Saccharomyces cerevisiae S288C: one gene and its partners. The protein of the gene in region 1 binds, or shares a complex with, the protein of each later gene. Each region holds a gene or a part of one and is shown on either strand. Other genes may lie near its edges. The genes, in order: TFB3, CCL1 and KIN28. A codon is read from its position in the direction of its gene.

Region 1 (3,584 bases):
ACTTAGGATATTTATTATTAGGTCTAAAAAGAAATATTACGAACAAACATGATATATTGGTGTAGCGGAAAAGGAAGATAAAGGAGGGAGAACAACGTTTTTGTACGCAGAAACTAAGCAATAACACATGCTGGGTCCCAGAAGACACCTTTGATAATATAGTTGTCCTTCTTTTCACTGCTGGTCTTTTCTTTTGGAGCGGCGGTAGCGGTAGATGGTTGCATTTCTATTCGATGGCTTTGTACTTATTTTGGTTTTATCCGAGAAACAGTTACAGATCCCTCTCATTAATTCATTTCTGGCGGTTTATATATGAAGACTCTATTTCATTTTTTTACTTGATTTTCAGCAACCACTGAATCTGTATCTTTATCTCTACCATTTTAGGTTTCTTAACTGTTTTTTCTGATTACTGGGTTTCATTTAACATGTAAATTTCCTTTTTGGGTAATTACACACTCGTTTGTAACAAGAACAAAGAATAAAGGTATGGGCCAACCGTAGCAGTAGGTGCCTTTTTTCTGAACACTGAAACAGATCGTGAATGCATGTATATGCGTACATAGAAAATAAAAAGTAGTTGATTACATAGCTTATGCCACGTTGCACACTATCCTGATGTTTTAAAGCTCCTCGGATATAACACATCCTAAGCCCATAAATGCCTCTGTCAACACCCTTTCGTACGCATAATTAGTGTTGAACCCAGACGCAATAAATTCTTTCCTGTGCTCAAGATCTTTGATGAATGGGTCATTGTATACTGAACCTTTCAACGTAAACCTTGGGTGTGCTTCTCTATCACCGTTAAACGGCGTGAACGGTACAGCATCTTTGAGTCTCGAATTCTGTACGTTCACATTTGAATTGAAATATGGATTGTTTTTCAGAACTCTATTTAGTTCTTCCAATTTCCTTCTAGCGGACGATTTTTTCAATTTAACCGTATTTTTAACGCCTTCGATTGTTTCATTGATATCCTGGGTGGTCGTACTCAACCGGTTGACGATTTCTTTCTTTGTCCACTCTTTGTTCATTCTTTCCTCCTCTTCGATTTGTCTTTCCAACAGTCGCTTCTTCAATTTCATCTCCTTTTCGAATTTTTGTCTCTGTTCGAAACTTTCTATCTCTGTTCTGCTTCTCTCCAAGTTATTCATAATCAGTTGCTTGTTTAATTCCTCGTAGGTGCGTAGTTTCTCCTCGGTCTTAGCCACATCGATCCCGTGATCTAGTTTGTATATAATGTCTTCCACCTCTTCCAAATATTTGTTATATTCCACAAGGTCACCATTGAAGTCATCGATAGTTTTGTTGAACACATTGAACACTCTCTTCCTGATGTCAACTTCTTTCTCAACTTCCACATCATCGAATATTTGGGTCTTGAACTTATTCTTTCTAAGAATCTTGTCACACCCTTTATATGGACACTGGGCAGGACCGAGACTAAATATTCGATCAACACACGACTCACAGATCCTGTGATAGCATTCAGGATTCACCAAAAATTTCACATCCGGAGAAAGGTATCGATCTGTCTTACAGATCGGACACATGTCCTTGTTTTCCTCATACTCATCCATAAGCATTTTTCTTTCACTTATATTTACTTGTGTGCGGGGGCCCACTAATGCTGCAAATCCTAAGAGGAAACAAACTCAAATTTTAACAAGCAGTTCAGTTTCTTAGCTGATGATGAGTGCTGTCTTGTGCGTCTGTTCTGTTGTATACTCTCTTTAGTATTAGTGCTTAAGAACAAATTTACGAGCGAACGGCCCGATTTGGACCATTTAGTCGATTTTTTTTTCCACTATTTACGTTTTAAATAATAGTAGCATAAACACAGCACTCAAACAAAACAACTAATTAGGCGTATATCTGCCCGTTGTAATATTTTCAGAACCTAGCTAAGGTCCTTTCATCGCGACACGGCAGAAATTAAACCGTTGTATATGAATGGCTCTATCATGGAATATTCGAATCAGGCGCAGGTCATGGTTTAGATTCATCTTACCGATTATCGTGCTCGGTTTACTGTGCTACGGTACGTGGGCTTACTGCCATAAACTATGTTACGAGCAAGTCGACAAACGACTTCGTCAGAAATCAGTTTCGGTTGGTCTTATTTGTGCGGTATGCTTCCTAGACGTAGTCGTGATTTTCATATGGCTTCAAATAGTTATCTTGGTCGGTCCAGGTACCCAACCGCACGTAGCACCTTTTTTGATCCTTCCTATAGCCTCTGAAGAGAAGACTAGCAACACTTCTCAAAACACTTCAGTGGAATACGATGCTGTGGTTCCGCCTAAGTGTTATCAGTCTGATCCTCACGGATACCCAATATGGTGCAGTGAATGTCAAAGTCTGAAAATGGAACGAACGCATCATTCTTCAGAACTAGGCCACTGCATTCCTCGCTTTGATCATTACTGCATGTGGATAGGGACTGTTATTGGTAGAGACAATTATAGACTCTTTGTGCAGTTTGCTGCTTATTTTTCAACACTTTTACTTATCATGTGGGTGTCTATTTGCGTTTACATAAGAATTATTACTCAACACAATCATAATTATAGCCCCAATTTAAACGCAAATATAATTTCAACGTTAGTGTTTGCCATCCTTGGATGGTTATTAACCGCAAGTTTGTTGGCATCGAGTATTTTTTACATGAGTCAAAACAAGACGTCTTTGGAGGCTATCATAGATAGCAAAAGGAAAAAATTTGGAACAAGGAAGATATTTTGTTATTACTCGGAAGCAAACAAGTTGAGGTTTGTGGTAGAGTTCGATAGATCTGAATTTCACTCTTTCTGGGACAAAAAGTCAATCTTAGCTAATATAAAAGACTTTATGGGTTCTAACATACTTATGTGGATAATTCCTTTAGGCAAGCCCTATACATCTCGATGCAAATCTGATGGCAAAAGCGGTTCAAAAACAACGCTAGTGGAAATATTGGGTCCCTATGAAGAAACTCTTAGTGACTACACCATTCAGGCCATTGAGGACAAGATATCAAGAGGAGAATATCTGGCCACATTGCGGGCTTCTGGTGACGATAGTGATCCTGCTTACTAAATAGTATTAAATTTTTCAAGCAATTTATATTCTGGGACGAAACTCATGTTACAATCGGTATATGTTTCTATTATCTATTCATTTTAATATATTCTGTATGCGTAGGGGAAGGGATAGTATATACATTTTCTTGATCGTCCTTCCATAAATAGTAAGAGATAAGTTTGAAAAAAATAAAAAAGAAGAGAGATTTTAACAGCAAAGAAACGGTAGGATGAACTTTAACGGACATAATAGTAGAAAAGGAAGTTTCCTATCTTCACTAATCGACAATGGATCACAGAAACCTTGATCCGAAAACGCTGAAGGTCAGCCAATTGAGAAGAGTTTTGGTAGAAAATGATGTTGCGTTCCCTGCCAACGCTAGGAAGCCTGTCTTGGTGAAATTGTTTGAGGAGAAAGTGAGGCAACGTCTCCAATCTTCACCTGAGGCCTCAAAGGTTAGAACTAGCATTCAAAAGGTTGTGAAGTCTGGGGCAAAAAACGCAGATCGCAAAAAGACA
Region 2 (3,610 bases), on another chromosome or scaffold:
CTTGAAACTTCAGATTATTCGTAAGGAGAAATTATAATATTATTTCTGTGATAAGAAAAGAGGCATTAAGCTTGGGTATTTGCGACAAAATACTTCAGGATAACCGATGATCGCAAGTGGGTTATTAATTTCTTTCATCCCTTAACCAACCGTCGCTTTCCCCCAGTGACAAGCCTTAAAAAAGTCACACCATGGAACGGAGTATCGTTGATGATTAAACCAATCATTAATCTTTCATAAAAGTTAAGATAAAAGCACTTGTTGATATATATAGGTACATGTGTATCAATACGCCATACATTGTAAATAGAATATTCAATGGATAAACGTGTGTAGCAAAAATAATCACATTGTAGCGCTAGTTAGCAATTTACTCATTGTCACATTTTTTGCAGTATATATTCATGGCATGAAATAATATAAAATGGCGCCGGTCTATATACCTATGCATCTTAATCTATATATATATATAAAACAGAAACCTACGGTAACAGAGCTGTTTCATGTTTTTTGCTTTTTCTCAACGGTGGACGAAGTATCTTCTCCATTCAACTTCCTTTTTAATTTCTGAATCAGTGTTGATGGATTTTGACAATAATAGTTTTTTGCCGCAATTTTCTTGGCCTCTTCAGTACTCGGAGGTTTACAATCTTCAATAATACTTTTACACTCGCGTATTATGGTTAGTAACTTCGCGGAGTCTATCGAATATTCTTCGCTCTCTGTGGACTTCTCTTTGTTTTTCTCAGTTGTACTGGCATCATTTTGTGGTTCTTCTTTTTCGTTTCCCGGTACTGATTCCTGGCTACCTTCTCTGCTGGGAAATTTTGTTTCTAAATACCTTGTGACCAAGGCTTCATCCTCAATCAATAATGTTGCTAGTGTTATTTGGGGTGGAGTGTAGAAATATACGACATCGGTTAATAATGCGGCAGTTATTCTCTTCTTACACCTATCGTATATTTGGCCCATGTAATTTAAATCAACCTTACCATAAAGGACGTTCTGGATATCTAAGAAAAACCCATGAAGCGGTTTGTAAGGATGATGGTTCAACAGTGAAAATTTCAATGATTCTAACAACTTAAACTCGAATTTGAGAACACTATCTCTAGTAGATTTGGCCTTTTGAGCAAACGAGTCCACGCTAATAAAATAGTTCTCCGATTTGCAGGCTAGAAAGATAGTAGTATGTACAATACTTTTAGGATCTATTTGCATAACAGAATTTTCTAAGAAAAAACGCCTAAAAAAGGATATCGCAGTGGCCACTACTTCGGTTGGCAAATTTAGATGCTGTGCTATTACCTGAACTTTTTTTGCGTAGAAATTCACCAAATCGAGTTCTTCTTCCATTGTCAAAGGGATAGCCTTTGCTTCTAGTACTTTTATTTCTTCTTCTGTTAAATTGTGTGCTTCTCTAAATTTTAATAAATTTTCCTCAATGTAAGCAATCGCTCGGGCATTGGTATCTACCCTTTTCTCCTGAAGTTGATCTTTAGTGTATGACCACATTCTATACTGAGAAGAGTGCCTATATAAATCATCGTCAGAAATTCTTTTGTAGTTCGGTGGCTTGTTATTCTCATCAGCCGATTTTAATTTTGCCTCTTTTTCTTTTGCTGACATGGTAGCAGAAGGAGTATCTAATGTACTCTTTCCATTTAGTTGAATATCCGTCATTCTATCAATATCTGTGCAGCACAGTATTTTCCTCTCTTAAACTTAATATTCACTCATTTGTTTGAGATCTTTCTTAATATAAAAACTGTGTTAAGATCAAATTTATTACCCGGATTGTGAACGGCTTAAACAACGAAGGGATACCGCAGGAAATGAGAGGCCCTTTCTTCTCTGGATGGCAAACAGTTCGTGCTATCAAAGTCTGTACCAAGGTTATTTCACTCTTCAAGCCAGCAATAACTACTTTCTTTCAGGTCACCTCTCAGCCGTCACGTCTCTAGCTGAAGCTTTGTTATTCTCGCTTCACTAAAAACAAGTGTATCTACAATATTTACCAGTCTATTCGTATATCCCTTATCATTCTTTTTCAATAAGGGCAAATACTTCGGAAAAAGAAAGGAACATTCATCTTGATTCTAGCCGTAAAGCTATCACGTTCACTCTAAGCAAGCGGAAAGTTGAGCAAAATCAACGAACAATCTGAGTCAGCAAGGCAGTACAAGCATCTCTTCTTTGCCCCTCAAAATTTATTTCCTTTTTGGTATAGTCTTACTTCCAAGTCCAAGCAAGCACTACGTATCACGACAAACCAACAGCCGCGCCGTTTTTATATTCGGAAAGAGAATTCTTGTCGTTATTGAATAATAATAACAAAATTTCTCCACTTTTCACCATATTACCACTCCCTTTTTTTCAAGTAAAAAAAAAAAAAAAAAGAATCTTATTGCTCCTTAAAAAAGGATTCATCAGTCCTTTATGAGAGCCTGCTAGTATCACCTAATATTGCATCTGTTTTTACCGAAATTTCCTCATTCCAATAATGAAAAGAATAAGATCGCTTTGGTTCAATGCGGAGGCTTCTTATTCAAACCTTAACAATTCTCCTAGTTTGAGGAACAAAAATAGTACCGGTAATAACTCTCGCTCTAAAAATTATCGTTCTTTCTCAAGGTTTGACTTGATCAACTCTATACTTTTACTGATGATGCTATTTTTATTAGCTATCTTCGTCACTGCATTATATTTAACAAAGAGTTCCAGGCTTACATACTCACATGCCTCGAGGGCTGCCCTATTTAACCCTCTGGGTGTGATATCGCCGTCATTGGGAAATCATACGTTGAACTACGATCCAGAAGCAAGGGAATCTTCTAAAAAACTTTATGAACTCCTTTCTGATTTCAACACGGCATATTATGATGATGAGAACATGATTTTGGGAAGTAACTTGTTCTCAAAGAATACATACTCGAGACAACCATATGTTGCTAACGGTTATATAGGTAGTCGTATTCCCAATATTGGGTTCGGCTATGCCTTAGACACCCTGAATTTTTACACAGACGCACCAGGCGCTTTGAATAACGGTTGGCCCTTAAGAAATCATAGATTTGCCGGTGCGTTTGTATCGGACTTTTATTGTCTACAACCAAAACTAAATTCAACAAACTTCCCAGAATTGGATGATGTAGGATATTCCACTGTCATTTCATCTATTCCACAATGGACCAATCTACAGTTCTCATTAGTGAATGATTCTAAGTGGTTCAATCCACAAAATGTTACGTTGGATGACGTAACTAATTATAGCCAAAACTTATCAATGAAGGATGGTATCGTAACTACGGAGTTAGATTGGCTAAACAGTCAAATACATGTTAAAAGTGAAATCTGGGCACATCGGCACATTCATCCACTGGGAGTGGTTTCTTTGGAAATTTCCCTGAATACGGACCATTTACCTTCGGATTTTGATTCATTAGATGTTAATATATGGGATATACTTGATTTCAACACATCACATAGGACTGTTCTACATAGCACGGGAACAGACGAAAAAAATAATGCGGTTTTCATGATTGTTCAGCCAGATAACGTTCCATCTTCTAATTGCGCTATTTACTCAACGTGTACTGTAAAGTATGAA
Region 3 (3,357 bases), 1.1 Mb from region 1:
TTCAATAATTTATCCTCCATAGCTAATAAGTCTTTGTGGACGAATTTGTTCTGCGTCCTTAGAGTTATCAAGACGTTTCGCATCTGCATAATGTCTGAACTCCTTATATAGGGGTATTTCTTCCTCCATGGGATATTCTCTTCATTAGTATTTTGTGATACCTGCAGAAATATCGGGTACATTTCATGGTATGTAAGCCTTGTATCTAACTGGAATAAAATTTTGTTAACCGTACGTTTCTTCGGGAAAATCTCTTGAAACTTTTTGGGTACTGGTGGTGTGGAAACAAACTTACTGACAAACCTCTGCATATTTTAGATCAGATATTTCTTGCTTTTGTTTTCGTTTTCGTCTGCTACTGTTTGTCTCCCCTCATATTGTTGTTGTTAAAATCTAAAAACGAATTCCATAATGATGGAAAAGAGTTAAAATTCAACACCAAAAAACAAGACGCATCAAGAAGTTTATTTGTATATGTTGAGGATACATCTAATGTCAATAACACAGATTCTACAAATTTTATAAAATCATATCAGTTACGTATTTTTATTGAAGACGGGTCACTTGGTGGTGGTAATTCTTTGAAATAATCACTTTCTAAACACTGAACAGCGGTCCACCTCTTTTGTGGGTTCATCGTTAGCATTCCACACATAAAATCTAAGGCGTATTCGCTAGCAGCAATGAACCTTTTCCTCAATTCATCTCTTGAAGGGGGCGGATATATTTGTAACTTGTTATACGTCATAAAGGAAGAAACTTCGGGCCAATCTCTATCTGTAGGTGTCCCTAAGGCCCTGAACGTTACTTCCATTTGATCGACATCATTCTGTCCTGGTAAATAAGGTATCCTTAGCATTAATTCCGCGAATATAACGCCTACTGACCAGATATCAATAGCCGATGTGTAATGTTTAGCTCCAAACAACAATTCTGGCGCTCTATACCATCTTGTTACGACGTTACTTGTCAGTATCTCATGTGGGGCCGGTATCGCCCTTGCTAGACCGAAATCTGCTACTTTTATCTGGCCATCAGGTGAAAATAATAAATTGTTTGGTTTCAGATCCCTGTGCAAAATGAAATTTCTGTGGCAATGATACACGCCCCTCAAAGTCATAAGCATCCATGCCTTAATATCTGCTGGTGTAAACAGTATTGATTTGTCTTTTATTACCACCTCTAGATCAGTTGGTAGGAACTCCAGAACGAGATTTAAATTATCATAAGCCATAAATATGTCTATTAGTTCTATGACGTTCGGATGCTGCATTTCTTGGAGGTACTTAACTTCACGGATAGCTGACATATCTAAACCATCTTTAAATTCGGATGTTTTGATCTCCTTAATAGCAATCTTTCTTCCAGTAGAGTGTTGACAACCCAAGTAAACAACCGCATAAGTACCCTCACCAACTTTCTTTTCTGCGATGAATCATCATTAATCAACGTTAGTATCATTATTGAATGTTAAAAGAAAGACGACAATATATAACCCCCACATACCCTTTGTGTACTCCATATTCACTTTCATATGTTCGCTCTGAGGCCGGGAATATTTTTTTTGATGACTTTTAAGTAACTGTGATTTCACTTGTATTTTTTTTCAATGTGTTTTTTGAATCTACTTGTAATATTCTCTGCACAATGCTTCAAATGAAGCTTCACATCATAACACAAAAAAAATTGTAGGTTCATCCAATGGACGAATCTTTCTTAAGGCTTATGCTTGAAGACCATTTCTATATACCAAAAAATTACAAACTGGCAAGATTGATGTCTTATTGAAACTGAAAATCTTTCAAATTAGAGGGTGATTTTCAATTACAATTGACAACTAAGCCGACTTCCCCTGAAACCGCTTCTGAATTCTTACAAATTTCTCTTGGAGGATTTGTTCAAGGTAGTGTGGTATGTTTTTAGCGTATTAACAGCAAGCGTTGTGTCTGCAAACAAAGAGAAAAAATATCAGTACAAAAAATGCTCACCTGACCTTATTCACCCAAAAACATCGGGGAAACGGTAGTAATATGGAAGCTGGCAGGAGTGCTGATGAAGTGCTATACCACAATCAGTCGTCAGTAAAGTTAGGTGAGTTAGAAAGATACGTTATTACATATGAGCTATACCAGGGTGATAGTATTCCCGCTGATATCACACTGGATTCCCTATGGGTAAAGATCAAAAATACCACAAAGCTATCCTATAAACCAGCCTATCTATTGGGCCCATTTATCTTATATTGTGACGTGCGAGCAAAAGATTACGAAAGCTCGTATAAGATCATATGTTCGGCGGATAAACCAGTATTTCAATCAAACCTACAGGCACAACAAAAGTTTATTGCAGAGTTGTCCTTGCACCACATTAAGCCACGCTATGTATGGATAGTGGATATTGTCAGTCAAATACTATTTAATAAAGAAACTAAGGTAACTTTTGAGATAGTAGTCGGCAATTCAAAGGCCTCTTTGAAAAGAAAAATACGATGTAATGATTCATTGCCTGATAAAGCCTGCAATATTTTACACACAGGATTATCGGTGCATAGACTTACCACCGCAGATATATGGAAAGTACCACGACCCATAGACATGTCGCAAAAATCCCATTTAGTCATTCTCACGCATGGTTTTCAATCAAACGTTTCGGCAGATATGGAATACTTAATGGAAGAAATATACAAGGCTCAAATGAACAATCCAAATGAGCGACTAGTTATTAAGGGATATATGAAGAATGCTTGTGAGACTGAGAAGGGTATTAAGTTTTTGGGTGTTGGATTGGCAAACTACATCATCGACGAGTTATATGATGACTCTGTTGGGAAAATTTCATTTATTGGTCATTCCCTGGGTGGATTAACACAAACTTTTGCTATTTGTTACATAAAGACCAAATATCCATATTTCTTTAAGAAAGTGGAGCCAATCAATTTTATCTCACTGGCGTCACCATTGCTAGGCATTGCTACCAGCACGCCCAATTACGTAAAAATGTCATTGTCGATGGGTATCATTGGTACTACGGGGCAAGAACTGGGTCTTAAGGATGGAAATTATGGTGATAAGCCCCTACTTTACCTGCTATCCGAGGAATCCTTAATCAGTGTGCTTGCTCGATTCAAAAGAAGAACACTTTATGCTAATGCCGTCAACGACGGAATAGTTCCCTTGTACTCCTCTTCTTTACTTTTTTTGGACTACTCTCAATTACTTCAGAAACTGGGAGGTCAAACTACGGCACCTTGTGATCCTCTCTTCCAGCCTGAAGTAAGTCCTATTGGGGAACTTCCAAATCATAGCGATGTTGCTAATGATGATGATGGAATCAATGCATCGTCATGGAACACGTTTT

What was found.
Region 2: the proteins of TFB3 (region 1) and CCL1 are in contact, whole or in part, in a cryo-EM structure (PDB 6XI8), measured with the Saccharomyces cerevisiae proteins. Residues at the interface, in NP_010748.3 of Saccharomyces cerevisiae: Phe270 (codon at 782), Leu272 (codon at 776), Lys273 (codon at 773), Val276 (codon at 764), Tyr277 (codon at 761), Asn278 (codon at 758), Asp279 (codon at 755), Pro280 (codon at 752), Phe281 (codon at 749), Ile282 (codon at 746), Tyr302 (codon at 686), Arg304 (codon at 680), Val305 (codon at 677), Leu306 (codon at 674), Glu308 (codon at 668), Ala309 (codon at 665), Phe310 (codon at 662), Met311 (codon at 659), Gly312 (codon at 656), Leu313 (codon at 653), Gly314 (codon at 650), Cys315 (codon at 647), Val316 (codon at 644), Ser318 (codon at 638), Glu319 (codon at 635), Glu320 (codon at 632); in NP_015350.1 of Saccharomyces cerevisiae: Tyr49 (codon at 1,539), Arg50 (codon at 1,536), Tyr55 (codon at 1,521), Ser59 (codon at 1,509), Thr61 (codon at 1,503), Gln64 (codon at 1,494), Lys216 (codon at 1,038), Pro217 (codon at 1,035), His219 (codon at 1,029), Gly220 (codon at 1,026), Phe221 (codon at 1,023), Phe222 (codon at 1,020), Leu223 (codon at 1,017), Asp224 (codon at 1,014), Gln226 (codon at 1,008), Asn227 (codon at 1,005), Tyr230 (codon at 996), Met238 (codon at 972), Tyr242 (codon at 960), Phe260 (codon at 906), Tyr261 (codon at 903), Thr262 (codon at 900), Pro264 (codon at 894), Gln265 (codon at 891), Tyr282 (codon at 840), Ile327 (codon at 705), Leu332 (codon at 690), Ile335 (codon at 681).
Region 3: the proteins of TFB3 (region 1) and KIN28 are in contact, whole or in part, in a cryo-EM structure (PDB 6XI8), measured with the Saccharomyces cerevisiae proteins. Residues at the interface, in NP_010748.3 of Saccharomyces cerevisiae: Phe260 (codon at 812), Asn261 (codon at 809), Gly262 (codon at 806), Asp263 (codon at 803), Glu265 (codon at 797), Ala266 (codon at 794), His267 (codon at 791), Ile282 (codon at 746), Leu285 (codon at 737), Lys289 (codon at 725), Glu290 (codon at 722), Phe291 (codon at 719), Ile292 (codon at 716), Ala293 (codon at 713), Ser294 (codon at 710), Gly295 (codon at 707), Phe296 (codon at 704), Asn297 (codon at 701), Tyr300 (codon at 692), Glu303 (codon at 683), Arg304 (codon at 680), Thr307 (codon at 671), Glu308 (codon at 668); in NP_010175.1 of Saccharomyces cerevisiae: Leu111 (codon at 1,123), Arg115 (codon at 1,111), Tyr118 (codon at 1,102), Arg122 (codon at 1,090), Phe124 (codon at 1,084), Ile154 (codon at 994), Pro155 (codon at 991), Ala156 (codon at 988), Pro157 (codon at 985), His158 (codon at 982), Ala179 (codon at 919), His181 (codon at 913), Tyr182 (codon at 910), Thr183 (codon at 907), Ser184 (codon at 904), Trp229 (codon at 769), Glu231 (codon at 763), Ser234 (codon at 754), Phe235 (codon at 751), Pro275 (codon at 631), Gln276 (codon at 628), Val282 (codon at 610), Leu285 (codon at 601), Phe290 (codon at 586), Lys291 (codon at 583).

What each region holds. Positions count from the first base shown.
Region 1 is NC_001136.10:1,381,816-1,385,399, reverse strand, and holds TFB3 (TFIIH/NER complex subunit TFB3), read right to left. Parts: upstream 1,590-3,584; coding exon 624-1,589; downstream 1-623. Other genes in the region: MFA1 (mating pheromone a), read right to left, coding at 114-224; palmitoyltransferase PFA5, read left to right, coding at 1,957-3,081; HEH2 (Heh2p), read left to right, coding at 3,354-3,584. UniProt on the Saccharomyces cerevisiae protein: Acts as a component of the general transcription and DNA repair factor IIH (TFIIH or factor B), which is essential for both basal and activated transcription, and is involved in nucleotide excision repair (NER) of damaged DNA.
Region 2 is NC_001148.4:612,876-616,485, forward strand, and holds CCL1 (TFIIH complex kinase subunit CCL1), read right to left. Parts: upstream 1,684-3,610; coding exon 502-1,683; downstream 1-501. Other genes in the region: alpha,alpha-trehalase ATH1, read left to right, coding at 2,504-3,610. UniProt on the Saccharomyces cerevisiae protein: Regulatory component of the TFIIK complex (KIN28-CCL1 dimer) which is the protein kinase component of transcription factor IIH (TFIIH) and phosphorylates the C-terminal domain of RNA polymerase II during transition from transcription to elongation after preinitiation complex (PIC) formation, thereby positively regulating transcription.
Region 3 is NC_001136.10:265,875-269,231, reverse strand, and holds KIN28 (TFIIH complex serine/threonine-protein kinase subunit KIN28), read right to left. Parts: upstream 1,535-3,357; coding exon 1,507-1,534; intron 1,426-1,506; coding exon 533-1,425; downstream 1-532. Other genes in the region: MSS2 (Mss2p), read right to left, coding at 1-311; YDL109C (putative lipase), read left to right, coding at 2,031-3,357. UniProt on the Saccharomyces cerevisiae protein: Catalytic component of the TFIIK complex (KIN28-CCL1 dimer) which is the protein kinase component of transcription factor IIH (TFIIH) and phosphorylates the C-terminal domain of RNA polymerase II during transition from transcription to elongation after preinitiation complex (PIC) formation, thereby positively regulating transcription.